Rattus norvegicus: one gene and its partners. The main gene of each other region encodes a partner of the protein of the gene in region 4 in a complex. Links are inferred from orthologs where the notes say so. Each region holds a gene or a part of one and is shown on either strand. Other genes may lie near its edges. The genes, in order: Med18, Med7, Med26, Med23, Med16, Med19 and Med21.

Region 1 (4,263 bases), on a different chromosome or scaffold from region 4:
GAGGCCCATACGGAAATGAATGAAAAGCGAAATAACAAGGCTAGATCTCAGAGACAGTCCAGTCAGCATGCACAGTACATGTATGCAGTTAGACTCAGGACGGAAGGGCAGAAGGTCCCAACTGTCCATGGCCATCCAGCCAGTTAGAGGGATGTTAGAGCCAGTCAGTCCAGGGGTCGGGGAGGTGGCTCAGTAGCTAAGAGCACTGGACCTGGGCTCAGTTTCCACCAGCACCCAAACCGTGGCTCACAATCACCCACAATTCCTTTCCAGGGAACTGGACACACTTGTCTGACCTCTGACTCACAAAGACTCATACAAATTTAAAATCCTAGGGCTGGAGAGATGGCTCAGCGGTTAAGGGTGCTGACTGCTCTTCCAGAGGTCCTGAGTTCAAATCCCAGCAACCGCATGGTGGCTCACAACCATCTGTAATGGGATCCGATGTGTCTGAAGACAGCGACAGTGTATACATAAAATAAATAAATCTTAAAAAAAAAAAGATTTAAAATCCTAAAAGAAAAATCTTAATTATATTTGAAAAAAAAAAAATAAGTTGGCCTGGGCTACGTGATACTCCTGTTTCCAAACAACAAAAACAACCTAAATCGTGTCATAGGTTATCAAGGACATAATGCTATGAGAAATAAGTCAGTCACAAAACCAGGGACCTCACTCATGTGGGGCATCTAAGTTGCCAAGGAAGGAAATACAGTGGAAAGGTAACTGTTAAGAGCTAGGAGAGGAGCTGGAGAGATGGCTCAGTGGTTAAAAGCACTGACTGCCCTTCCAGAGGTCCTGAGTTCAAATCCCAGTAACCACATGGTGGCTCACAACCATCTGTAATGGGATCCGATGCCCTCTTCTGGTGTGTCTGAAGACAGCTACAGTGTGCTTATATACATAAAATAAATAAATAAATCTTAAAAAAAATAAAAGAGCAGAAAAAAAAAAGAAAAAAATAAATAAAAGAGCTGGGAGAGAGGGAGACTCAGTATGAGTTTTAATTTTTTTTTTAATTTTATTATTTCTTTTTTAAATTTCACGTGTGGAAGTGTTTTGTCTTCCAGTTTATCTGTAAACCACCTGTGTGCCTGAATCCATGGAGACCAGAATAGGGCATCACATCAACTCCTCTGCAGCTGGAGTTACACACAGTTGTGAGCTGCCGTGAGGGTGCTGGGAATTGAACCAAGGACTTCTGTAAGGGTCTCTCCTCGCCCTGAGTTTTACTTTTTCAAGATGAAAGAGAATAAATGAAAGCCAGGTGCTGGTGGCCCACACCTGTGATGCCAGCACCTGGGAGACAGAGCAGGTGGACCTCGTAGTTCTGAGTTCCAGGCCAGCCTGGTCTACAGAGCAAGTTCTACTACAGTGAGGGTTACACGAAGAAAACCCTGCTTAGAGAAACAAAGTGAGAGTGTGTGTGTGTGTGTGTGTGTGTGTGTGTGAGAGAGAGAGAGAGAGAGAGAGAGAGAGAGAGAGAAAGAAGAGGAGAGAAGGGAGGTGGGAGGTGGGAGGGGAGGGGAGGGGAGAGGAAGGGGGAGGGAGGGAATGAATGAGAGAGAGTAAACAAGTGTAGCACACCTGTGATCACAGGCACTTGAGGCCTGACTGGTCTACAGAATGAGTTTCTGGCCACTGAGCCATCTTCCCACCCAACCTCTTCTAAACGCAATTACTGGGTGACAGGAACCGTGCAGTTGCCTTTATGTAAGTCATCTTGACTTGCTTTAACAAGAAAAGGAACGAAAACTTGGTAATGCATGCTCCGTGGCTGACTTACCCTGCAGGAGGTACTCCATCATGTTAATGGTGCCCCCAGTGACTGGCATCATGGTGACTGGAGGTGCCTCCATGATGCCTCTAATTAGGTTCAAGACGACAGAACTGCAAACAGATCTTCCAACCGGGGAAGCACGGGATACACCTGGAAGAGTCACATTTGTCCATCCACTGTTTTCTGTGGCACTGGCCTTGAAACCAAAGCTCATTCATTCATAACTTTGAATATCTGCTTATACAGCCGGTTCCAAGAACGGGTGACGCAGAAACAAGAGAGGTCTGGCCCTGGTGATCCAGAATGACCATCTAGTCTCAAGTTCTGAACCTTCTAAAAGTTTTTCTATGTCACCTTGAGGCAGCTATGCAACCTCTTGCTCCTTTAAAATAACCCCGGGGCATATAACCACACAGACCCTCCCCCACCCCCATGCGGCTCAAATGAAAGAACCGACATACATATTCAAAAAAGGTGACGTCACTTTGGTCTACGCTGAGAGGCCTCCTTTCCAAACATAAAGAAATAAAAGCCGGTCGTGTTAGGGGAACATCTGTAATCTCAACACTCGGGGACAGAGTTAGGAAGACAACTGCGGCTTCGGGCTAGACTGGTCTATATAGCAAATCCCGGCTAACTAGGGCATCACAGTGAGACTGTCTCAAAAAAACCAAAAGACCTAAGAACCTTGTCTACCCTTCGTTCTATGCAGAGGCCATGGAGACTCAGTGAGAGCACACGCCGGGATCAGACTAGAACTGGTTCTGCCTTTTTGAAAACGCCTTTACAAACGAGCCAGGCGGGAAACATGAAGTTAAAGTGACTGCACCGGTCCTCCCACTCGGGGATCCGGGACACGTGTGCACTTACACTAGCAACACGTCTCCGTTCGCGCTACAGATCCATGCAAAGCTGGACTTAAATCCACGCGTGCACACCCGCAATCCGCACCCCCAAATCCCTCCTGCACAGATCCAGAGAAACCGCCAAACATTCCCTTCAGCACTTCCGGTAGGAAGCTGACGGACAGGAAACTTCTTCGCTACCGCCCCGAAAAGTAAGGGTGCCGAGAGGGCAAGGAAGGCGCCCGCCTTCTGGCACCGGTGTGCAAGAGCGCACGCGCAGAGTGCGGGTCCGCTGCGGTGTTGGGGTCCTAGTCTAGAGTGGTACACTGGAAGGTTACTGTAGGCCTTTACGTCATAGGACAGCTCTAGGAAACGGTTTTTGATTTTTTTGTTTGTTTTTTTTTCAGCTTCGGCGACCTGGATGTTTTGATCAGATCTCTTGAAACTGATTGGATACAATATTTAAATTTTGAACTCAGCCACTGGGGGGAGCGAGGAGGGAAAGAGTCGCAGTGAAAAAGATCAGAAGGGCAGGGGGGTGGGGTGGGGGCTGGCAGTGAGCGGGATGTAAAGTAAGTTAAAAATTAAATTAAATTTAAAAAAAGAAGGGAAGTATGTTTCAAATCGGAAACGCTAAGCACAGCGTTGTGTATTTATAGACCCCAGCAGGAACAATATTTTCTTGTGTGCTTTCAAGGGTCTGGAGAAACAGCTCAGTGCTAGAGCCTTGCCTGGTATGTGCAAGGCCATAAGTTTAATACAGAACAACAGCAAACTCGTTCGATTTTCCATGCATACCCACAACTTTAAATACGTGGGACCAGGCACAGTCCGAATCTGAGAACCTCAGGAGGCTGCGGTAAGGATCTCTCCAGCAGAGCCATTCAACACTTAAACAATATTTTGAGGGTTTTTTTCCAAAAATTAATTAATTAGGGCTAGAGAGATGGCTGAGCAGTTAAGAGCCCTTGCTGCTCTTGCAGAGGTCCCCAATCCCTACATGGTGGCTAACAATCATTTATAATTCCCCTTCCAGGAGATCTGTTACCTCTTCTGACCACATCACTCACTGCATCCCTGTGGTACACATACATACACCCTTGCAAAACACTCGTAACACAAAATATAAAATAACTAGGGGGCCGGGGAGATGGCTCAGCAGTTAAGAGCACTTGCTGTTCCTCAGAGGACTTGGGTTCAGTCCCTAACACCCATATCAGGTGTCTCACAACTACCTGTAACTCTAGTTCCATGGGAACCGACACCCTCATGTGGCATCCATGGGCATCTATACAGGACATATACGGTGTACATACATTTAGGCACACATATACATTAGATAGATAGGTAGTAGGTAGATAGATAGATCGATACATAGATAGAAGGTTGATTGATAGATTGATTGGTAGATAATTAGATAGAAGGTTGATTGATTGATTGGTAGGTAGATAGGTAGGTAGGTAGAGAGATACGTAGCTGGATGGATAAATGGATGGCTAGATAGAGACTCTAAATTCAACAAGTTCTTCTTGAACTCTGTACATGTGCCAAACACATAACGGACATAGAGTGAGGCACCCTTAATCCTCCAGAACCCCTCACCCCATAACATTTCCGCAAAGGCCGTCTACCTCAGGC
Region 2 (4,142 bases), on a different chromosome or scaffold from region 4:
AGCCTGATCAACACAAGTACAATGTTCAGTACAAGTTCGTTGTGGGTTCAGACCATATTATCTTCAAGCTTCCTGATGGGAAGTATAAAAATTGAGAACTTGTTGGCCAGCAAAGACAACAGGTGTGCTAATTTCACCCTAGGGAGACAGGTAATCCTGGCAAAGGAGGAAGAAGTGAAGAGAAAAATAAGGCAAAGCTATGGCTTTATGAAGATCTGATTAGTCCCTTGTTAGACTAATGGGATAGAGCAGGGAAGGTGCAGAAAGTTGCACACAAAGATGGCCTTCCAAAAAGGTCTGCCCTCTGTCTACTTTGTGATAGCATGAGTTATGGTTCCAACATTCAAGTATAAATTCCCATTGTACAATTTCTGCAACTGACAGTGGACAATGGCAGGCTCCTTTTTACTGTAGAATCACCACTTACACATACTTAGTCACGGACTCCCAGGTACCATGTCTTCTTTACAATACCTGCTCTGGTCCTACGGCCTGCTGTGTCCTGGCTCTTAACTCTATTCACCCAAGACTACAGGTTGTTGCTTAACTGAATCAGGCTTTAAAATGCTGAATCGCCATGTTCACTGCAGTGAGGATAACAGAAGTGAGAACCATGAGACATGTCTAGTGTCTAACTACACACCCAAGTCGAGGTGTGCAAACCTTGTCTATGAAGGAAATTCTGAGAACACGGAACAGCCTCACTTGGAAATCCTACGATTATTTTTAATCTCTTCGAGCCCTTCTCACCTGTTAAAGAGCACTCATATGATCGTTCAGTAAGATCTGTTCTGCTTGTTTAAAAAATGATGTTAGCATTAAGGACTCACACATTGTAGATAACCTGACAAATGTAAATAAAGCATTCAAAGTGGGAAAACAAGCAGCAGAGTCCACTGCGGGTTTGCAGAGGACTTTATTTACTGTTATTTTTAAACAATTTTTTAAACTGCCCTAAGCATGATGGTTGTTGAGTCCTAATGATTGAGAAGCATGATAGCTGTGAGTTCAAGGCCCATTTGAACTACATGGGCCAGCCTGTGCTAAAGATCCATCTTTAAAAACCAAGAAAATATTTTAAAAATATATAAAATTGGGAGTAAGATATGGTAGTGGTCTGCAAGATATTAGACGAGTGAGGAAGCAAGCATGATCAAAACACACATGTTTGTGTGTGTGTATAAAATTCTCAAAGAACAAACATATATTCTGAAAACTAAGAGAAAAGGGTCTGTATTGGGGGGCTTATACATGGTATATGATATACTTCTTTTTCATGCCTGACTCCTTTTGGTAGGCATACGTTGAAACCTACTCTGGGAAAGAACAGTTATATACAAAGTCATATGCCTTATTTATTTCTCTTTTCCATAATCAAACTACATATGGTGTCTATCAATCTCACTTTGCTTTCTACTGTACAGTGATTTCCAAAACCAAACACTTAAGATTCTCTATACGTCTTGACAAAAATCACTTGTTAAATTTCATACTTCTAGAATTTTCCAAGGTTTCTGAGGGAAGCCTCATCTTACAAACATCTTATAGTACAGTTTTATTGACAATTGGCATTTTAACATCTTTTCTACATAAATTTAACACCTAAGTCCCAACACTGCAACATATATGGTCAAAATACCCTCTGCTTTTCCAATTTGAGTTTAAGTACATTATACAATGAGAAGATTCTTGAGCGCTTTTTCACACTGAGATTCAAGGTAACAGGGGAAAGTAACATACAGGTTCCGTACACCTGGAATACATTAAATCTGAGGGAAGTCACTTCAAATTCTTCAGGTCGTCCAACTCAACTATTTCAGGGTATATATACCTAAGATACTAGTGTCTATTTGCAGTCACATCAAGTCAACACCCAGCCTAAATTTCGTCCCCTGAGGGCTTTTGAAGATGAGATCTGCGCTTCCCTTAGCCACACCCATACTAAATTCCCATTTCCCAAAGGTTTCTAATAAGTGACCGGCATCCTCACTTCTATCTTCCTAACGGCACAACTATTCCCAATTTGATTTTAGAAACAAGAAGCCAGTTTCCAATGTGCAGAAGTGGGTAAAATGTATAACGGGAATTTGTACTCCGTTTTTGTTTTGTTTTGTTTGGCTGTTTCGTTTTGTTGCGCGGAAGTGCAAACCCCGATAACTCAAGCATCCCGTTTTAGAGCCTGCCACCTTACAAAAACCGCCCTCACCGGTTTAAACTGAACTTTTCAGAGCCGCTGGATGTCCTCACTTGCTAACACTAACAAAATTCAGTTTCTAGCATTTGCTTGGGGGGCGGGGGGGGGGAGTGGTCGCAAGCTCAGACACTTGGCTCACTTGGTCCCTGTCCCTCGTAAAGTCTGGTACAGGATAAGATCCGCCCGAGGCTCTCCCTCCCCTCCCCCAGCCTCCGCGCTCCCAGGTGGCTACTATCATTTTACTAATGCCGACAGGGCAGGCTAAGGCCACGACACTTTAAAAGCCCGTGGCGTGGGGACGAGAACTCGGACCTCCCAACCTCCGGTCCGGCTCGTCGTCCGGTCCGCGAGACGCCCGGAGCGAGCCGCACTCCGCGCACCTTCGGCCAGCCGCCTGCCTCAGGCCCCGGGGAGGCTCCGCTGAGGGACGTGGGAGGAAGGCGAGCCCGGGCTTCCCAGGTTGTCCCGCGCCGGACCTCGGCGTGGCGCCGGGAAAGACGCAACCGCGGGGGCGGAGAGACAGACTCTGGCTGCGGTCGCCAAACGCCGCGCCGGCTCACCTCAGCTCTAGCTTTTCCCGTAGCGACTTTTTCCTCAGCGCAGCGGAAGCACAAGTTCCGGTTGCCTTCTCAGGAAGAAGCCTCTGACGCGGGCCTTTAATTGGCTACGAAGCCTGTCCTATAGCAGGTCCTACTCCCGCCCTAAAGATACTGCGCATGCGCACTCCCGCGTCTCCCGCTTCTCCCGGGAAAAGATCTCTTGTCTATCTTCTTGGTCAGGTCAGGAGAGTGTTTCTTCATACTTCTTGTTAGTAAAAGAAAGTACTCTCTAGTAATTCGACTCCTCGCCGCCCACCCCCTTTATATAAGACTCTTAAAATTAAATATTTGCCTTATATAAGTCAGAAAATACAGATAAGCAATATTTAAAAATATCAATGCTAACCTTATCATCAAAAAAAATTTTTTTAAAGCAAGTTGTACTCCATGATATATTCATACATACATGGGGATATTTGGGAACATGATTAAGACTAACATCCTACACCTTCATTTTCCCCCTTCCGTTCACTTTTATTTTCATTTAGGAATTCAAAGATGTATATGACAATTCTTCCACAAACCGACAAGTAAAAAAAAAAATTAATGTAATTTTTAAAATTAGAAGGAGTGGGCAATTTCACTGTGTAGCCCAGGCTACACATGGTTTCAAATGTCTCTTCCGAGCCTCAGGAAAGCCAGAGGTTCAGAAATGAGCCATCAGGACCAGCAAGAAAACTTTCCATTTAGGCCTTCCCCCACCACACATATAAAAGAATTGTTAACAGATGTCCTAACTCATGGGAGTCTTAAGAACGCTTGTTGCAAATTAAAAGTGAGATAAGACTGTTCTGCTAAAACAGCTCTGCTTCAGAGACAAGAATGTCCCAGTTTCTTCCTTTAAATATGTGAAGAATTGCAGGCATAAAAGCGAAAGAACAGTCTACTCATCACCAACTTCCACAGCTATATGCTCCCCATCAGTTCGCCTCTAGTCCAGTATGAGCCTCTCAAAGGTAAGGGCTCTTCGCTTTTTCCCATGCCCATAGCATTACTATCTTACTGAAAGTGTACCAGGGGTTGTTACACTGATCAAATGAGTGTGTGTTCACACATGGATATATATGTCATATAACTTATTAGAGTGGCTTACAAGATGCAGTTCAACTAGTCCAACAATGGCTGCCTCCAACCTGAAAGGCTGAGAATCCCGTAGCTGCTCAGTCTAAGGGGCTGGATGTCTCAGCAGACCCCACCTGGCGTTGGAGGCCTGGAGGATTTTTAGAGAGCTGCTGCTCTTCAGTCTGTGTTGGAATCCCAAAAAAGTTTGGATCTAATACTGGCAAAGGAATGACACAGCAGTGGGACAGATGAAGTTGCCAGTGAGAATGAGAGCAAGCAACGAAAGA
Region 3 (4,136 bases), on a different chromosome or scaffold from region 4:
TGTCCCCGTTTTGTATTTTTTCCATGAACATCCTAAATATGTGTCAATTACCAAGTGGTGGAGCTCATAACTGGGCAGATCAGAGCAAGAGCAGAGATCCCTGCACCAACATGCGGCTCTTACCTGGGCCCTGAACAATCACAGAGACAATGCAAATGGCCGGGCACCCCTCAGCAAGAAATGGAGGACAGTGCTCCAGGCTGATTCTACAAAGAGATTCTGCAAAGCTAGCCCCTAGAACATATACCTAGTTGTTTTTGTGGATAGTCACTGACACATTGCATCTAGGGAAACACTCCCCTCCTCACTCAGAGATAAGTTCTCAACTCCAGCCACAACAAGGTCTCCTATCACTACAGCCCTTTGAGATACACACTCCAAGCAACTTACTCACAGGCCAATGAGCACTTAGGACCAAGGGAAGATTCAAGAAACTAAAGTTGGAGGCCAAGCATGGTGGCACATACCTTTAATCCCAGCATTTGGGATTAAAGCAGGTAAAAGCAGACAGGTTCTGTGAGGACACCCTGGTTTACATACATAGTGACTTCCAGAGACAGTCTCAGAAAAAAGACACAAACTAAAATTTGGGCCCTCTATCTTCCTTCTTCTATCCCCAAAGGGTCTTTTAGTCAGACCCTTACCTAGCACTTGGACCCCACCTGATCTACAACATCATGACTACCTGTCAAAGCACTTGCTGATCCCAACACTCTCACATGCAAGCAGTCAGGATCTCTGAGAAGATCTCAGCAAGGAGTTACACAGGTGTAAGATTTACAATGTGGAAGAGAGGAGCAGTGATAGTGCAAGCATTTAATCCCAGCACTCAGAAGGAAAAGGCAGGAGAATCTCTGAGGCCAGCAGCATGGTCAAAGAGCAAGTTCTAGGATAGCCAGACCTACACAGAAGAGGAACCCTTCTCGAAAAACAACATCAAAAAGATTACACTATACACTATAGCTTCAGCAAAGATGCAAAAGCCATCAAGGCTATGTTTTCCTATCACTTATTTTTACCTTTTAATATCCTAATATATCAATCATGTGATTAGTCAGCTATTACCAATCACTGGCAAAAAACAAAACAAAACAAAAAACCCTTAAACCCGCCCCCCAAAAAAGAAAGGTTTTCTAGAAGATTTTTATCTAGCCTGTCTCTATTCCACCACAAAAAAAAAAAAAAAGTCTACAATATTTACTAAATTACTATCGACGTGATCCTAAAGACTAGGAAGAGAATAATTTTGAATCTGGCAAGTAGATTCTCATAGAAACTAGAACATCTCTATTTCTACCAAGACCACACAAACAATGTGAATTATTCTGAACACACAATACAGCACATTGCTACAAGTAACTAGCCAAGCATAGGCAAGGGAACCCAAAAAGGTTCAAACCTCTGTTACCTGGTCCAAGATGATTTTTTTTCTTCCATCCTGGGCATATTAAAAAGTGATCTCAAAAGCCACTTCCTGGTTTCCCAGCAAACACTTCATATCTGAATGCCTGTGCATCTTCCCATGGCCCTACTCCTGACAGCAACAAGGACACCCGCCCCCTGCACTGCCAACAAACCTTTGGAAAAAATACAAGAACAAGTAAAATTAGTCTACACTCACACAGGAAGAAAAAAGGCGTCCTACTGCTCACAGGACTCTTGACAGAGGAAAGTGTGATCCCTTACAATTAAATCTTGACAGCCTAGAGTCCAAAGCACCTCAGGTGGAGCAAGAGAGATGGAAAGAGGACCGGAAGATAGGGATAAGAGAACAATCTACTGTGATCGGCAGTATTTCAGTACTAAAATCCCAGGCTTTAGCTACTGGTCAGACGCGCAATGGAGCATTTAGGCCAAGAGAGGTGACAGGAAGGGTCCCACTCTCTGCAGAGTCGTCTTTTCTAGGAAGCGACCCACTATCAGAAGAGAGGATACTCTCCAGGCATCACAGGAAGACAGACTGATGGCAGAACAGGCCTAGGGTTCCCTACGAATCCAAGAAGGGGATTCGCTAGAAGACCGAGGGGGAGTAAAGGCCAAGACTCCAGAGACGCGGGCTACCCGAGTCATCGCGGAGACACCAGTTGCTTTCTACCTTGTCCCCCGGCAGGGAGACCTTTCCGGGGGGTTCTCAGTTCCCGGGGTTGGGGTGAGGCAAGAAGGGCACGGTGGGGAGCACCAAGGGCAGCCGGGCTGGGACAACCGAGGAGAACCAGCTCTCATCAAAGCTCCGAACGATCCCTCAGTCCAGGCCGCGTGAAGCCTCGGCCTCAGGTACCCTCAGCTGCCGGGGTACCCGCCTTGCCTTCGGCCTCCGGACCCAGGAGAACGAGACACCGAGATGGCAGCGGCCGTGGCGGGCAGATCACCGCCCGGAGAGAACCCCTGGCAGGGGCGCGTCGGAGGGGGAGGGTCCCGACACATGCGGCCTCGGTCCCCGATCGCGCGGCAGTCACTTACGTTGCTCTGGGAGTCGATGGCCTGTAGCAGCCGGTCCCTCATCTGCTGCGGAGACGCCGGAGCCGCTGTCATTGCCTGGGCGAAGCGGGGGGGAGCGGCCGGGCCGGCGGGCGGGCAGGCTGAGGAGGGGGGACGCAGGTCAGTCACTCGCCGGCCTCCGGGAACGGAGCCGCATGTTCCCCGCGGCGCCAGAGGAGGTCGAGGCGCTCGGGGAGATGGCGGAGGACGGAGGAAAGCGGAGGGGACCGGAGCTCAGGCCCCGGACCGCCGCCGCCACCGCCGAGCAAGGAGGAGGAGGAGCCGACGGAGAAGCCTCCGCCACTACCGCCGCCGCCGCCGCCTCGAGAACCAAACTCCAGTGAGCTGCCCCCGCGCTGAGCACTCTGGGTAACCCGCGCCGCACGCAGCGTCGGCGCCACGCTGAGGAGGTTGGGAGATGGGGGCGGGTGGAGACGCCGGGTTTGGGAGGGGCCGGCTTGTGAGCCCCGCCCATTGATTCTGCGCACGCGCACGCATGCGCACTTATCAGGTCCTGCCGCCGGGTTCTAAGGCCGGATCCAGAGAGCCGTTGGGAGACGGTTGGGCGTGGCAACGGACGCTATCCGAAGGTCACGCCCACTCCGGACTAGGGGGCGGGGCTTCCTAACGGAAGCTCACATGCCAAGTCCTGGAACACCGGCTCTTCCTGCTAACTGCTTTGGGGTTGCGGAATGGTAAGACCCTCCACCGGATGAGGACCTCTAGCTTTGAGGAATCAGAGGATTGGAGCGGCCATAGGGACACTAAGAAGGGCAGCGGTTGTCTGCGTTGAGACCCGTGCGGCGAGTAGCTCGGAGAATCTAGGCGCAGCCGTCGCCGCTGCAGAGGCCCCAGGCGCGGATCTGCAGGGCAGTGAGTGTCCCCATGTGACCCGCGCGCTGCTGGGACCTAAGGGCACGTATGGGAGCTGCCGCCTCCGCCGAGGGCTCGAGTCTGCAAGGCATGCGCGACGCTGACACCTTGGCTGTGCATCCACGAGGGGCTGGAACTCAAGAAGAAGCACCGCTCTTTTTTTTTTTTTTTTAATTCTTTTTTTCGGAGCTGGGGACCGAACCCAGGGCCTTGCGTTGAAGCACCGCTCTTGTAGCCCTCCTGAGAGGCGAACTGGAGGTGGCCAGTCTTTGTCTGCACAACAGGATGCGGAACCATCGCTCAGCATCGTCCCCTCCGCATTCGGAGCGGACGGAACGATCCCTGCTTTGCACCCCAGCCACTGGAAAACAGGAACGCCTCACCGAGGAGGAAGGGAAGCGCCAAGGTCACCGTGAGTTTTAGGTCAAACCAAGAAACGAAGGATATCAAGTATAAGGGCTGTGGTCTCCGGCAGGTGGAGTGGGAGGGCGGGCTCCGAGTTTAGCGCACTGTATTACAGTGGCTTCGGGAGAAATAACTTTCGTTTTGTGTCGTAACCTTAAAAATCCAGACATGAAACGGAAGGGAAACAGGTAATGAAAATCACATGTACTCCTGAGAGCTGCGGGACACCTGTTAATTTTAATTTGTTATACTTCTAGGGAGTGCTGGAGGGAGGTGGGGAACCAGGCATTTTTTTCCAACGCTCGGGAGGCTGGAGGGTTTCTGGAGTTCAGGCCAGCTTGGTCTACACAGTGAGTTCCAGACTAGTTCTCTCCCACCCA
Region 4 (3,500 bases):
CAGAGTGTTTCACCTTACCTATGGGCGCTCTGGTAGAGACCATTTATGGCAATGGAATTATGAGAGTGCCTCTCCCCGGGACAAGCTGTCTGGCCTCAGCATCAGTAACTCCCTTACCAATGAACCTCCTGGATTCTCTGACAGTGCATGCCAAGATGAGGTGTGTTCCTTTCTTTATCTGGGAATTGATAAAGAAAAAAATGCGTACATATGTGTGTATGGTCTGGGCATTTAAGAGTGACTTCTTCACAGAAATGAATGCTGTTAACTGTAGAAGCTATAGAGTATGCAGAGGAGTGTGAGGCAGATGAGGACTTTATCCTTTTCACAAGAAAATGGAAAAACATCCTTGCATCTTTTTTTCAATGAGTAAATTTATGATTTTATATATTGTGCACAAAAATGTGTTGTATCTTGTTTTCCTCCCATAATAAACATCTTTTAACGTGATTTCCCCCCAAAACTGTTGTGGATTGCTACAACCAAGTTCCTCATGAAGCCTGAGCGGCCTCTCTGCATTGCTGGGAGTCGAGGGCTTGGTGGCTCCTTCCTATTTAAGAGATGTTGATGAAGGCTGCCTTACAGCACTCAGAGCGATGTCTGTAGTTGCGTTTGCCTTCAGTCTTTTTCTTACATTTTTTACTAAACAGTTTTTTGAAAGGAGAATTGCTGTGTCCCGAAATTTAAAGTGTTAAGGCTTTTGCCTTATTGAATTGTGCACAAGAACACTTTTAGAGTTATGTTTGTTTCCTGGAAGGCAGAAAAACCTCCGTTGGTACTGGACCTCAGGTGCCCAGGGTAGCCAGGCTGGAGCTGTGGTGTGGCCTGGTACAGCATGCTGAGAAGCAGGAGTGAGTGCACTGGAGGCTGGCGTGTGGAGGCACACAGCACAGCGGTAGGGTCTTATCTTGAGCTCACAGTTCGGTTGGTGAGTGGAGTAGGATGCTGTCTATCCTAGCTGCTCACAGTGATTCCTTGAGAAGGACTAGGCAATCCAAAAATGTCTGCTCTCAAGTGTTAAGTTCTGACGCAAACCTAAGACAGCACTGTATACAGGCCAAAGAAAACTGGCCTGTAGCTCCCCAGACACAGTGTCAGCTCTACAAAAGCCATGCTTTTTTACTCTCAGACAGTACACAGAGTGTCACTTCACTGGCAGATGTGACACATTTGAGCACAGCCCTGCTAGAAGCAAGCACGTGGGTCTTAGTAATAATTTATTAAATGATTTTGTGATGTATATGATAATGTATGGTGAATGTGATACATGTCGCTCTTCAAGGGTACTTAGTTACCTGTTTGAGCGACGCTAGCTAAAAGCACTCAGTCGTGCTCTCAGGGTTTGTGTGCAGGGCTTGCTTTGTCCTGAGCAGAAGGATCCCTGTGCACAGCCCAGCTACTGCCCCAGCCCTGAAGTCCTGTAGAAAGCACAGCGTTTTCCAGTTGTTCAGACGTCACTGCCAAGTGTCTGATACAGCTTAAGCCGGTCAAGTGAGCCAAGTCTGTCGGAGCCTTTGCGTTTCAGATCTGTAGGTATTTGCCACTGAGAAGAACAACTTCCTTATAGGCATGGGCTCTCTCATCTTCTTCTTTCCTCCTCAGCCTTATTCACAGCATTGCAACCAGAGTGATAAAACTGGCTCATACAAAATCCAGTGTCGCATTGGCTCCAGCCCTGGTGGAAACTTACAGTCGTTTACTGGTCTACATGGAAATAGAATCTTTGGGCATCAAAGGATTTATCAGTAAGACAAACGTCACTGCTGTTTCTCATGATTAACAAGTCAGTAATTCAGGGAACGGTCGTCCTCGTGCTGAGGACGCTGCAGGGAGGCCAGCCTGTCCAGACAGGGAAAAGCAGAGGATGGCAGATGCGCTGGGACAGACATGGGTGCGCGACAGGCCTCCCTCAGTGTCTGAGGAGTGAGGGAGCTGGGTGTAAGGAGCAGGCAAGGTAAGGGAACAAGGCTGCTGCTCAGAAGCCCCAGCAGGACGGGTACTCTCCCTGCACGGGTCTGGCCACAGGGAAGGAGCTGTCATCCAGTGCAGAGGATAACATCTGTTAGTTCAGGGATTCTGAGTGATAGGTACTTCCCGACTGGGAACACTTTTCTAACTCATTTCACCAGAAGTGAATCCAACTTTCTTTGGATAGAAGAAAGAATGAACAAGGAAAAACATTAGGTTTTTTGTTCTGGTCTAGGTTTTGACTTTTTCGAGATAGTGTCTCCTGTTGTCCAGTCTAGGCTGGCCTCTGACTCCTTATGTAAGAGAGTCTGGTTCTGAACTCTTGTCTCTTGCCTCTTGCCTCTGCCTCCTGAGTGCTAGAATTGTGTGCCCTGCTGTGGCTTGGCTGACTTGGCTGGCTGGCTGGCTTGCTCCCTCTCCCTCTCCTCCTTTTCCCCCTCCCCCTCCACTCTCCCTCTCTTCATCTCCCTCCCTCTCTCTGTCCCTCCATCCCTCCCTCCCTTTCTTTTTTTGGTGTTAAAAGGTGAGTCTGTTTTAGTTACACTAGTTGCAATGGTGTACACCTGTAGTCTCAGCTGAAGAGATTGAAGTAAGAGAATTACTTGAATGTGAAAGTTCACTGCCAGCCTGGGTAATGGAGCCCTTGGGTTCAATTGCCAGCACTAACTATCTACCCATCGACCTACTTATCTGTCTGTCTGTCTGTCTGTCTATCTATCTATCTATCTATCTATCTATCTATCTATCTACCTATCTATCTATCTAAAAATGAATTTCATACTCAGACGTCAGAAACCTTTGACTTTCTATAAAAATATCCAAAGGTAACTGGAGACGTGAAGCAGACCAGAATGGCTTTCATGGTTTTGATTGGTTGCTTGGTTTGGTTTTATTTTTGTGTGGTTGCTTTCATTTTATTTTTCCACATTAACTGGAGCCTGGCATGTTAAACTCTGGAAGGGAAGGATAAACGCAGTGCGTATTTAGGCTCTGCATTTTTTACCCCTACAAGTGGAAATATGTATATACGTGTGTGTCTGTGTTTGTAGTCGTAGTTTCACATACGTCCTGAGTGACAGTCTTCAGATATATACAGGGAGGTCCTTTTACTAACTGGTACCGGAATTCTGCCTGTGGTAGGTCAGCTCCTGCCCACTGTCTTCAAGTCCCATGCCTGGGGCATCCTGCACACGCTGCTGGAGATGTTCAGCCACCGGATGCACCACATTCAGCCACATTACCGAGTTCAGCTCCTGAGCCATCTCCACACCCTGGCTGCAGTTGCACAAACCAACCAGAACCAGCTCCATCTGTGGTGAGTGAGTAGCCTGCAGGCTGCCTCCCCTGAGGTTTAGCCCGCCCATGCTTGGAAGTGGGGATCTTAATCTTCCCCACCCCCACTTTTTTCTTATTTGCCATAAAATTTAAATTCTGCTTCTAAGATACTATAATTACAGTGAAAGATTGGAATCCAAGTTTTTAAAAGAAATTGGATTTGCATATGTGTCAAGTCCTGGTTAAAGCATCATTTT
Region 5 (3,500 bases), on a different chromosome or scaffold from region 4:
TGTGGGGCTGCCCACTATCACCAGTGAGCCCAGATTGTCTGGTGACTCACAGCCATCTGCAGGAGACACAGCGGGGATGCTATTCACATTTAATTACTTGCTGGCCACAAAGGGCAGTTTACTGTAACTGCAGCACGGGCCTCTTGAGGCCACTTAGGTCCTCTAGCAATCTCCACAGCAACAGGGTCCGCACCCTCCCTCCAGCCTCACTTCTTTCTGTATTGTGGGGAAGGTTATGCAGGGCTGAGCCAGGGCACTGCGGGGCAGCCTCAGTAGCTATCCCCTGGGCAGTCACCATTTGTAAGCAAGTGTCCTGTGGAGTGCTGTCCTGCGTGGTCTTGGTAAAGATGCTCCACTCCACTCAACTCCAGCCTTCTCTCTGACCTGGATTTCTAGATGATTCCATGGCTTTCAAAGTAAAATGCCTCCCTTAGTTGTGGGTGCCCCTCCAAGGCTCAGCCCTTGGTTGCTGGCCCCCTGCCCCAGGGCCTATGCATTGTGTGTGTGTGTGTGTGTGTGTGTGTGTGTGTGTGTATGTGTAGTGTGTGGTGTGTGTGTAGTGTGTGAGTGTGTGTGTGTAGGTAGTGTGTGAGTGTGTGTGTGTATGGTGTGTGTGTAGTGTATGAGTGTGTGTGTGTGGTGTGTGTATGGTGTGTGTGTAGTGTATGAGTGTGTGTGTGTGTAGTGTGTGAGTGTGTGAGTGTAGTGTGTGTGTAGTGTATGAGTGTGTGTGTGTGTAGTGTGTGTGTATGAGTGTGTGTGTGTAGTGTGTGTGTGTGTGTGTGTGTGTGTGTGTGTGTGTGTGTAGTGTGTGTTCATTCCCAGGCTGTCCTTACCAGGGCTCTGGAGCCTTAGTTTCCTACTCTAGGCAAGAAGCCAACAGCCCCCGGGACTGTGGAAGGTAAATTAACAGGCCACACCTTTAATACTAGGGCTCAGGAGGCAGAGGCATGTAGCCAGCCTTTGCTACTTTGTGGGTTCTTCTTTTTGCCACCCCCACTCCCATTTCAGTCCTATCACTAGATAGGAGAGAAACGAGAGAGGTGAGAGAGAAAGAGAGCCTTGAACGGAATTTCTTTCCTTTCTTGTTTCTTCTTTGAGCACAACTGCTAACAAACCACAACCAACCCCAGCTCTCAGAGCCCTGGCATGTATGCACCCTCTGAAAAGTTCCCAGAATTCCAAATGTCACCCAATCTTAGAAATTACCTGCAGCTAACAAAACCACGCCTCTGCTAGAGCATATCATAGTCAGCATAAATCATAGTCAGCTGCTGTGGACATCTGAAGCAGCCCCACATCTCACTCCTGGGCTTACAACAAGATAACAGTTCCGTGTTTGTGTTTTTAAAGAATCCCAAATCCCAGAATTCTCATCGCAGAGGCAGGTGGAGTTCTGTGCATTCAAGGCCAGCCAGGGACACAGAATGAGACCCTGTCTGAACCCCAATAGCCATGAGTAAAGCCCTGAGCTTCCCTCAGGAGGGAACCCTGAACGACTCACCCACAGGCGAGATCTGCTGGAAGATGTTGTTCACAGGAAGGCCCTCTTTCCGAAGGGACCAGCACTCCACTAGGCTGCTGGTCTGGCTGGATGCACACAGGAGCACCTGAGGGTGGGGCTCAGTGAGGGGGTGTCTCCTGGAGCACCCACCTCCCGTGTATCCTCTGGTGATGGCTCCACACAGGACTGTCAGCACAAATGTGCCATGGCTTTCAAGAGGTTTGCGGCTGTGTGATTTTACAAAGCCGGACAACCCTTTGACCAGTGGACAGGTCACAACAAGACATGTCCCCAGATAGGCCACCTTCTGTGGTAGCTGGAACTTAGGAAAGGGGATTTACCTGCATCCTTCAGACCTGGTTTCACCATGGAAGGTGAGGCAGGAGGGCAAGAGGCAGACGGAGGAAGGCACCCCTAGCCAAAGGACGCTGACGCTCCCTGGGCGACCAGCAGGAACCTTCCCTGCTCCCACCAGGTCCGTCAGATTCTGACCCCACCACAGGACATGGCTGGCTGAGCTGAAGACGACACCACAGCTCACCTGCTCAGACATGTCTCTCGCCAGGAACTTGAGGTGTGTGATGGCGGGGAACCGGTCCTTGCGGTTGGGGTCGGTGGTGCAGCGCATAAACAGCGAGGGCAGGATCTCCGTGTCGATGCGGCACTTCTCGCTCACCACGCTCACGCACACCTTGTAGAACTTCACGGGCGATGCACTGCTGCCGTCCGCAGCGGCCACAACGATGTTCCCACCGCCTGTGAAGGCGATGTCGGCCAGTGCCACTCGGCCACGCAGCCGGCACAGGCTCTCCGTGGACGTCAGCACCTGCCCACTGGGCTTCAGGAGGGACACAGTGACCAGGCCGCTGACTGTCACCGCAATCCAACCCTCCATTGGCTTGCCACCAAACAGCGTGAGAGACGGGGAGAATTTCACCCGGGAGAACTTTTCTCCGAAGCTGGAGGCACCAGACTGAGAAGGGGAAATAGGAGGAAGGGCTTGCTCAGCTTCTTGGGGGCTGCCTTCTGTGACCAACCCCCAAAGAGCAACAATGTAGCAAGAGCACTGCATGAATGGGGGGTACCCTGACCTCAGTCTCCTCTTCTATAGTATGCAAGCATTAGCGTTTTTCTCAGGGGACTATAGGAGTACTTTAAGTTTCTCTGTAGTGACCTCACAGCCTTTGTCTCTGCAGCAGAGGCAGCAAGATGGCTATGGCACTGACTGTGGTGCAGGGGGCAGTGTGTATTTTCTGTGGAGTGCTGCCTCAGTGCCAGCTACTCCTCTTTACAGTCTCTAATTCCAAATTGATGTAATTTACATACAAAACATACCTTGTTTGTTTGAGACAGTGTACATAGCCCAGGCTAGACTCAAAGTTATCGTCTTGCCTCAGCCTTCCAAATTCTGGGATGACAGGCATGCACTATCACTATCATAACCGGCTCAATAAAACTTTTTTGTTACTGTTTTCTCTGTGTAGCCCTTGCTGCCCTAGAACTTGCTCTGTAGACTGGGCTGGTCTCAAACTCAGAGATCCACTTGCTCTGCCTCCTGGGTAGAGTACTGGGGTGGGTCATCACTGCCCAGCTAATACAATTTTCACATTAATTTTTTAAAGATTTATAGCTGGGTGGTGGTGGCACACACCTTTAATCCTATCACTCAAGAGGTAGAGGCAGGCAGATCTCTGAGTTTGAATGTAGCCCAGTCTACAGAGCAAGTTCTAGGACAGCCTGGGCTACACTGAGAAACCCTGTCTTAAAAACCAGAACGACGACAGCAAAAGATGAGTTGCATTTACCCTGGGTTGAGGTGTCTGTGGGTGTCAGAGAAAGGTGTAGGGTCCTCAAGTGGGAACTTCTAGTTCTTTGGAAAGTTAGTTATGGCAAATGATGTTTGGATGGAGCAAACAGGAGAAAGGATGTCTCGCTAAAGCAGACACGGGGGAAAGGATGATTTGCTATAGCAAACATGGTAAAGAACCCACAATGA
Region 6 (3,937 bases), on a different chromosome or scaffold from region 4:
TCACTAGGTAGACCAAGTTAGCCTTGAACTGAGAGATCAACCTGCCTCTTGATTTATCCTGAAAGATTTATTTTTATCCTATTTGGTGTGTGTGCGTGTGTGTGTGTGCGCGTGCGCGTGTGTGTGTGTTGTGTTGTGTGGATGTATGCCACATATTATTTGAGTGCCTATGGAGGTCAGTAGAGGGTGTTGGGATCCCTGGAGCTGGAGTTACATACAATTGTGAGGCTCCCATATGGATTATGGGAACCAAGCTTGGTCCTTTGGACAACATCAAATGTCCTTAACTGCATGACCTTAGAGTCATCTTTACAGTTCCAATGGACCTTTTCAAGGCAAGGTCTCATGTAGCCAGCAATGACCTTGGGCTCCTGATCTTCCTGTGTACATCTCCCAAGGGCTGGGATTATAGAAATATACCATCAAGCCCGGTTTGTCAAGTATGGAGAATGAATATAGAGGTCTTTATGCATGCTAAGCATGTACTCTTCCAACTAAACTACATCCCTAGCCTTCCTAATCAAATTTTATTACAACTTAACTTTGGAGCCTGATCAACTACTAATCTTCCTGCAAAATTTCTAATGTATCCAGATAGATCTACGTATCCTCTGGGTAGAAAACAGCAACAAAACTGTACCACTATTTCCTTTGAGAAAATAACTTTCTAATTTTGTTTGCCTATATAAATTCTTCAGAGTTCAGTTCAAATGACATCTTATTATTGCTGTCATTTTGGCTAACACATTTTGAAAACCATCAGGTAGTTTTAAACACTGCTTCCTGTGTGAAGCATGACTATAAAGTAGTAAACAGACACCCACAAAGATACAAGCACCATCCTTAAACCATGTATTATGGATCTCAAAAAGTAAGCTACGTAAAAACCCGGCTTAATAATCTCCCCTTCTCAGAATCCCACCATACCCAGCGTTTGCCTCGGAGATTCAGTATTTATCAACTGATTTATATATAAATGGCATAATCAGAACAGGAAATGCAAAAGATAAACTGCTGGAAGAAGCTGGGCATGGTGGCACATACCTGAAGGCTGAGATTAAGTGGATCTCTGTGAGTTCAAGGCCAGCCAAGTCTACAGTGAATTTGAGACAAGCCAGGGCTACATAGTGAGGCAAAACAACTAAAATAAGGAAAAAGAGAACTTCTGGAAGACACCTGTCATTAAAGCACATATAGTTATTTCTTTATGCTTCAGTCCTCAACTATAAAATATAATACCTATCTATCTAAAAGGGCTACATATTGTACACACCTCACTGATGTGAACTTTAAACTACTGTGCTAATAGCTAATTGGGATAACTGAACTTCTATTTTTCTTTTTTTGAAGCAGGATCTCATGTCCTCTAGGCTGGGCTGGAACTCCAGAACCTTCTGCCTTCACCTCCTGAGTGCTGGTATATAGTACCACAAGTTCCCTAAGATTTAACATATCCAGAACACCTCTTGATTTTTAGCTCTTCAAATTTTTTCTTTCCATAACTTCCTACTCTCAGACTACTATAACCTTTGTACAGAACACCCACAATTCCTCTGTTTATATTTAGTTCTTTATTTCTGTAGGCTTCACCTTTATCATGTATCCTGTATTCATTTGCTTCTCTACTGCTAAGTCCTGGTCCAAACCATTCTCTTTTAGGAACACTGATTTCTGATTACCCCATTTTCACTTATGTTTCTGCTGAATATCTTTTTAAAAAAAAAAATCACTAAATTAGCTCATTCCCCCCCCCCCCCATGTTGAAATTGACTTCAACTTGAACTTTAAACCTACATTGCCTTATAAAGGCCTCTACCTATTTTCCATCAGTACTGGAATTGTTCCTTTCCTTGAATTCAATGTGTCTTCTGCCCCTCAGATATTCTAAGCACCCCCCCCCCCATCTTCCCCTCCAAAACAGGTCTCCTGATGTAGTTTCTTCTATCTAGTATCTTCTCTCTGTCCAAGGACCGATGGCTTTGTTTATTCTTGAATGTTACCTACTCAGAGATGATTCTGTGAACACGCGCCTTATGCATGGCAGTCAAGAGTTCTACCACTGAGCCACGCCCCCCCCCAATTTTCCCGAATAACTAACTTTATGAATGTAAGAATTGATTCAATTCTAGTCCTTTCTTTGAGCGGGTTAATCTCCAAGTCCCTGACGAGGAAGGCAACTTGCTATAAACCAACAAGTTTGTGACAGACTTTAAACTAAAATCTTACTGTCTCCAGAAACGTTAAATCAGGTCTCCCGAGTTCCAAACAATGGCTCGTTTTCATAGAGTCACAAACAGCGGTTAGAGAACCCGGATCACAGAACTTCTCGCTAGAGGTAGTCCCAGATATTCACACCCAACCCAAACCCACCCCGGGAAATCAAGTTATCTTTTAGAGTTGTGAATCGCCAAAGGGCTTCTGACACTGTTGCCCACTGGCCACCCGTAGCCCTGTTATCTTACACCTTGCGCTGCAGGATGCTAGCCACAACGGTCACCTAAACTATTATCTGATTGGCTACTTTTGGCCCACTACTCACCTGGCAATTCCCGCATAAGGTAGAAGGGACCGCTTCCAGCCGTGGACTTATCCGCTCCCACGGGGGCCGAGGTCGCGGTCGAAGGTGGAGCCGTGCCTGGACCACCTCCCGGAGGAGGAGGGGGTGGCGGCGGAGGCTTTCCAGGCCCGAACCCTAGTGCGCTTGGTGGCGGTGGGGGGTCAGTTTGAGCTCCGAACAGGGCTGTGAAGTTCTCCATAGCACTCGCCGCTCTTGGTTACCCGGGATCTGGCGTTAATTACTTTCATTGGACAGCACTTTCACAGGGTACCACCCTCTTGGTTTAACAGCTTCCCATCATTGGATACGCTAAGCTCCGCCCACCATCTTCCGGCAACTTACTTCCTTTGCCCTGAGAGATTGTTCAGGTAGTGTTTCACAGACTAATAGCCAATAAAATGACTCAGGTAGAAAAGCGACAATTATGAGGACCAATAGACTATCTAATTCATTTTCCGATCTATTATAGCACCCAATAAGAGATCTACATCCGGGTCTGGAGGCGTTGCATCTGATATTTGGCCCAATAGAAGCCTTGCTGTTGGGGGCGGAGGACGACGATTTGGGGAGCGGGAGTGAGCCTGCAAGAGTGTAGGCAGGGAAGATGGCTGTCCTCGCGCCTCTGATTGCCTTGGTGTACTCGGTGCCGCGGCTTTCTCGATGGCTGGCCAGACCTTATTGCCTTCTGTCTGCCCTGCTTTCCATTGCTTTCCTCCTCGTGAGGAAGCTGCCGCCGATTTGCAACGGTCTCCCCACGCAGCGCGAAGATGGCAACCCGTGTGACTTTGACTGGGTGAGCGCCCCCTGCCTTAGTAGCTGTCGACCTTGACCATCCATCCCTGCCCTGCAGGTGCATGTGAAGATGGGAGGGCGGGTTTCGAGTGTAGCTTACACACTTGAGTGGAGAGCCTAGGCCGTTATCTAGTCCTTACCTTCGTGTTAAAGATGGAGAAACAGATTCCAGGGTTTCCATCACAGATGAACAATATTCTTCTGTGATTCCAAGTTCCTTGGGGCGCCACTGACGAAGACTAGGCCCGTGGTAGAAATACCATTTAAATTTTTCTAATTTTTAACGAAGTGATCACAGTGTAGTTAGGCGATTTTTCAAGGTAACACAGCGTTCACTAAGTGCTGTCTAACCTTAATCAATTCTCTGATAGACCGGCAGACATAGGTCACTGACTCAACAAAATAAATGACTTTGGTGGAAAAATCGTCTGCTCTGGGCATAACAACTGTGCGCACTATCTTCCTGAGGTGGGATAGGAAAACAGGGAAGGTTACAAAAATACGAGGTGGGGGGAAGCCCATCAACCATCTAAGAAGCAATATTTAAGAACAGTTAACATTTACCGTGAAGGTTGTGGACATAGAGCT
Region 7 (2,231 bases), on a different chromosome or scaffold from region 4:
GTGCCCACCATAGCATGCACACAAGAGATCAGAGGATCTGGAGTAATTCTCTCCTTCCATTATTTGGGTTCTGGGTATCAAACTTCGGTCATTAGACTTGGTGGCACGTGCCCTTATCTGCAAAGCTCTCATTGGCCCAGGAATGACCTTATCAGTGTAATTCATAAGCCGCATAATTTTACTCATGTCCAATAAAGATTGCTACCTCCTTAGAGGAAAGTGTGTGTGAGTTAAGCTGAAGTTTGCTTGTGTGACCTTAATAAGAGAAACATCTCATCTATGGATTCCTTTCCTTAAAGTACCAATGTGTTGTCCTAATAAATAAAATGACGTGTTATGCTAATTCCCAATTTGAAGTAATATTAAATGTATGAATAATATTGACATGCTAAAATTATACTTTCTCAATTGGAATTATCATATAGAAAGCTTAGCTGAGCTTTTCTAGCTTTATTAATCGTATAATTTCTCCTTACGAAAGTGTAAGATTCTGATCGTTTAGCTTGATGTTCTTCTTCAGAGTATGCCCAGCTTTTTGCAGCACTGATTGCACGAACAGCAAAAGATATTGATGTTTTGATTGATTCCTTACCCAGTGAAGAGTCTACAGCTGCTTTACAGGTAAAACTCTTCTGATAAATTACTAGTAGTAGAGAACTTTGAATTAGGAGGTTATGATATTCAGTTTAATATTACATTTTAAATGGGAGATATTTGAGTTTTTATTTGGTTTTGTGAGTTTTTTCTTTTCATTCCTTTTTTTTTCTTTTGTGGTCAAATCCAGAGTCTCACATACTAGGCAGACACTCTTGTCTCTGAGCTATAACCTCAGGCTTACTTGGGAGTATTGTTACTGTGAGCTAGCACAGCCTCTGGAAGACTGTGCTGTTGGGTTGTCCAATTTTGACTTAAAAGGTAAGGTCAGGTGTGCTTGCGGTGGTACCGATGTTGAGCAGTCTCATCTTCGGCAGACGCCCACCTGACTTTAACTAGCAAAGATGAGTGGAAATGGCATTCTGAACGTGGAACAAAACAGTGTCTTCAAGAAGTGCTAGCAGAGCAGCTATATATACACTCCTGAATGTTCTCATTGAAATTGGACTTAGGATAACTCAGACAGAAAAATTAGGTTGATAGAATGCCTGCCACAATGATTGGAAAGGCATTCTGATCTTAAATAAACACTTGTGTTTAGTGTCTGTCCAGTTAATCTCTGAATGCATTAACATTCATGTCCTCCAAAGGCTGCTAGCTTATATAAGCTAGAAGAAGAAAATCACGAAGCTGCTACGTGTCTAGAGGATGTTGTTTATCGGGGAGACATGCTTCTGGAGAAGATCCAAAGTGCACTTGCTGACATTGCACAGTCACAGCTGAAGACCAGAAGTGTTACCCATAGTCAGTCTCTCCCAGACTCATAGCATCAATGGCTGAGATGTGACGGAGAAGAGAACTGTTTGAATGGCATTAAGAATGCCGCATCAGATGGAAGCCCTACGGACAGCTGTAGAACATCATATGCTATGACGGTGTTGCCTTTTTAAGCTAGTTTTCATTGTTTGCTGTTTTCACTCTTGATAAGTAAAAGACTTTACAATTATAACGGAATCATCTTCAAACATCATTATGCCATCGTTTTTTATCTGACTAGAATTTTCAGGACAGATACTGTACTAAGGTTCATGATATAATTAAACAGATATACAATAAAGCTCTTTGCTGTTTTGTGTATGTGGTTTGTTTGTCCTTTTTTGTGCAGTGCGGAGATGGAACCCAGATCTTGTGCATCTTGTGTATGCTAGGTAAGCGCTTTGCCACTGGGCCATATTTCCCCAGTTCTGACTTTTGTAGTACCATTGTAGCCATCCCACAGGTCAGAGGACCTCAAAGGCAGGGATGGGTTACATTTCAAGTTAGATAGGCGTCCTGCCCACCTCTCCAGAGGTGGCGCCGTGCTCATTTGTACTCCGAGCAGAAGTTTCTGAAAGTGTTTTAGAGAAAACAATTCGAGCAGACAGGAAAGTCATCTGTTCATTGGTGGGAAGCTTTCTCTTCCAAAATGTCACACATTCCAGTTTGTCTCTACCCTTGTCTTGACAAAGACATTTTTACTCTCCATGGAATTCCAGTGTTACTGTGAGAGATTTTTATCCTAAACCATGTTTAAATAATTTTAACCTACATCCACCATCTTCTTAATTTACATGTCTTCATAGTGAATTACATTTCTT

The links.
Region 1: Med23 (region 4) and Med18 share a complex: the UniProt entries of both Homo sapiens proteins name them as parts of the mediator complex. The link is inferred for Rattus norvegicus from reciprocal best matches to the Homo sapiens genes MED23 and MED18.
Region 2: Med23 (region 4) and Med7 share a complex: the UniProt entries of both Homo sapiens proteins name them as parts of the mediator complex. The link is inferred for Rattus norvegicus from reciprocal best matches to the Homo sapiens genes MED23 and MED7.
Region 3: Med23 (region 4) and Med26 share a complex: the UniProt entries of both Homo sapiens proteins name them as parts of the mediator complex. The link is inferred for Rattus norvegicus from reciprocal best matches to the Homo sapiens genes MED23 and MED26.
Region 5: Med23 (region 4) and Med16 share a complex: the UniProt entries of both Homo sapiens proteins name them as parts of the mediator complex. The link is inferred for Rattus norvegicus from reciprocal best matches to the Homo sapiens genes MED23 and MED16.
Region 6: Med23 (region 4) and Med19 share a complex: the UniProt entries of both Homo sapiens proteins name them as parts of the mediator complex. The link is inferred for Rattus norvegicus from reciprocal best matches to the Homo sapiens genes MED23 and MED19.
Region 7: Med23 (region 4) and Med21 share a complex: the UniProt entries of both Homo sapiens proteins name them as parts of the mediator complex. The link is inferred for Rattus norvegicus from reciprocal best matches to the Homo sapiens genes MED23 and MED21.

What each region holds. Positions count from the first base shown.
Region 1 is NC_086023.1:149,949,873-149,954,135, forward strand, and holds the start of Med18 (mediator of RNA polymerase II transcription subunit 18), read right to left. Parts: upstream 2,801-4,263; 5' UTR 2,651-2,800; intron 1,931-2,650; 5' UTR 1,860-1,930; coding exon 1,787-1,859; intron 1-1,786. UniProt on the Homo sapiens protein: Component of the Mediator complex, a coactivator involved in the regulated transcription of nearly all RNA polymerase II-dependent genes.
Region 2 is NC_086028.1:31,353,695-31,357,836, reverse strand, and holds the start of Med7 (mediator of RNA polymerase II transcription subunit 7), read right to left. Parts: upstream 2,801-4,142; 5' UTR 2,755-2,800; exon of another isoform or gene 2,207-2,754; intron 157-2,206; 5' UTR 1-156. UniProt on the Homo sapiens protein: Component of the Mediator complex, a coactivator involved in the regulated transcription of nearly all RNA polymerase II-dependent genes.
Region 3 is NC_086034.1:17,332,434-17,336,569, reverse strand, and holds the start of Med26 (mediator of RNA polymerase II transcription subunit 26), read right to left. Parts: upstream 2,801-4,136; 5' UTR 2,533-2,800; coding exon 2,461-2,532; intron 2,437-2,460; exon of another isoform or gene 1-2,436. UniProt on the Homo sapiens protein: Component of the Mediator complex, a coactivator involved in the regulated transcription of nearly all RNA polymerase II-dependent genes.
Region 4 is NC_086019.1:22,325,755-22,329,254, reverse strand, and holds part of Med23 (mediator of RNA polymerase II transcription subunit 23), read left to right. Parts: coding exon 1-160; intron 161-1,602; coding exon 1,603-1,745; intron 1,746-3,108; coding exon 3,109-3,283; intron 3,284-3,500. UniProt on the Homo sapiens protein: Required for transcriptional activation subsequent to the assembly of the pre-initiation complex. Component of the Mediator complex, a coactivator involved in the regulated transcription of nearly all RNA polymerase II-dependent genes.
Region 5 is NC_086025.1:10,452,273-10,455,772, reverse strand, and holds part of Med16 (mediator of RNA polymerase II transcription subunit 16), read right to left. Parts: intron 2,478-3,500; coding exon 2,046-2,477; intron 1,611-2,045; coding exon 1,505-1,610; intron 1,474-1,504; exon of another isoform or gene 1-1,473. UniProt on the Homo sapiens protein: Component of the Mediator complex, a coactivator involved in the regulated transcription of nearly all RNA polymerase II-dependent genes.
Region 6 is NC_086021.1:90,167,692-90,171,628, reverse strand, and holds the start of Med19 (mediator of RNA polymerase II transcription subunit 19), read right to left. Parts: upstream 2,801-3,937; 5' UTR 2,757-2,800; coding exon 2,540-2,756; exon of another isoform or gene 2,351-2,539; intron 1-2,350. Other genes in the region: Tmx2 (thioredoxin-related transmembrane protein 2 precursor), read left to right, coding at 3,162-3,350. UniProt on the Homo sapiens protein: Component of the Mediator complex, a coactivator involved in the regulated transcription of nearly all RNA polymerase II-dependent genes.
Region 7 is NC_086022.1:181,296,505-181,298,735, forward strand, and holds the end of Med21 (mediator of RNA polymerase II transcription subunit 21), read left to right. Parts: intron 1-520; coding exon 521-621; intron 622-1,244; coding exon 1,245-1,421; 3' UTR 1,422-1,731; downstream 1,732-2,231. UniProt on the Homo sapiens protein: Component of the Mediator complex, a coactivator involved in the regulated transcription of nearly all RNA polymerase II-dependent genes.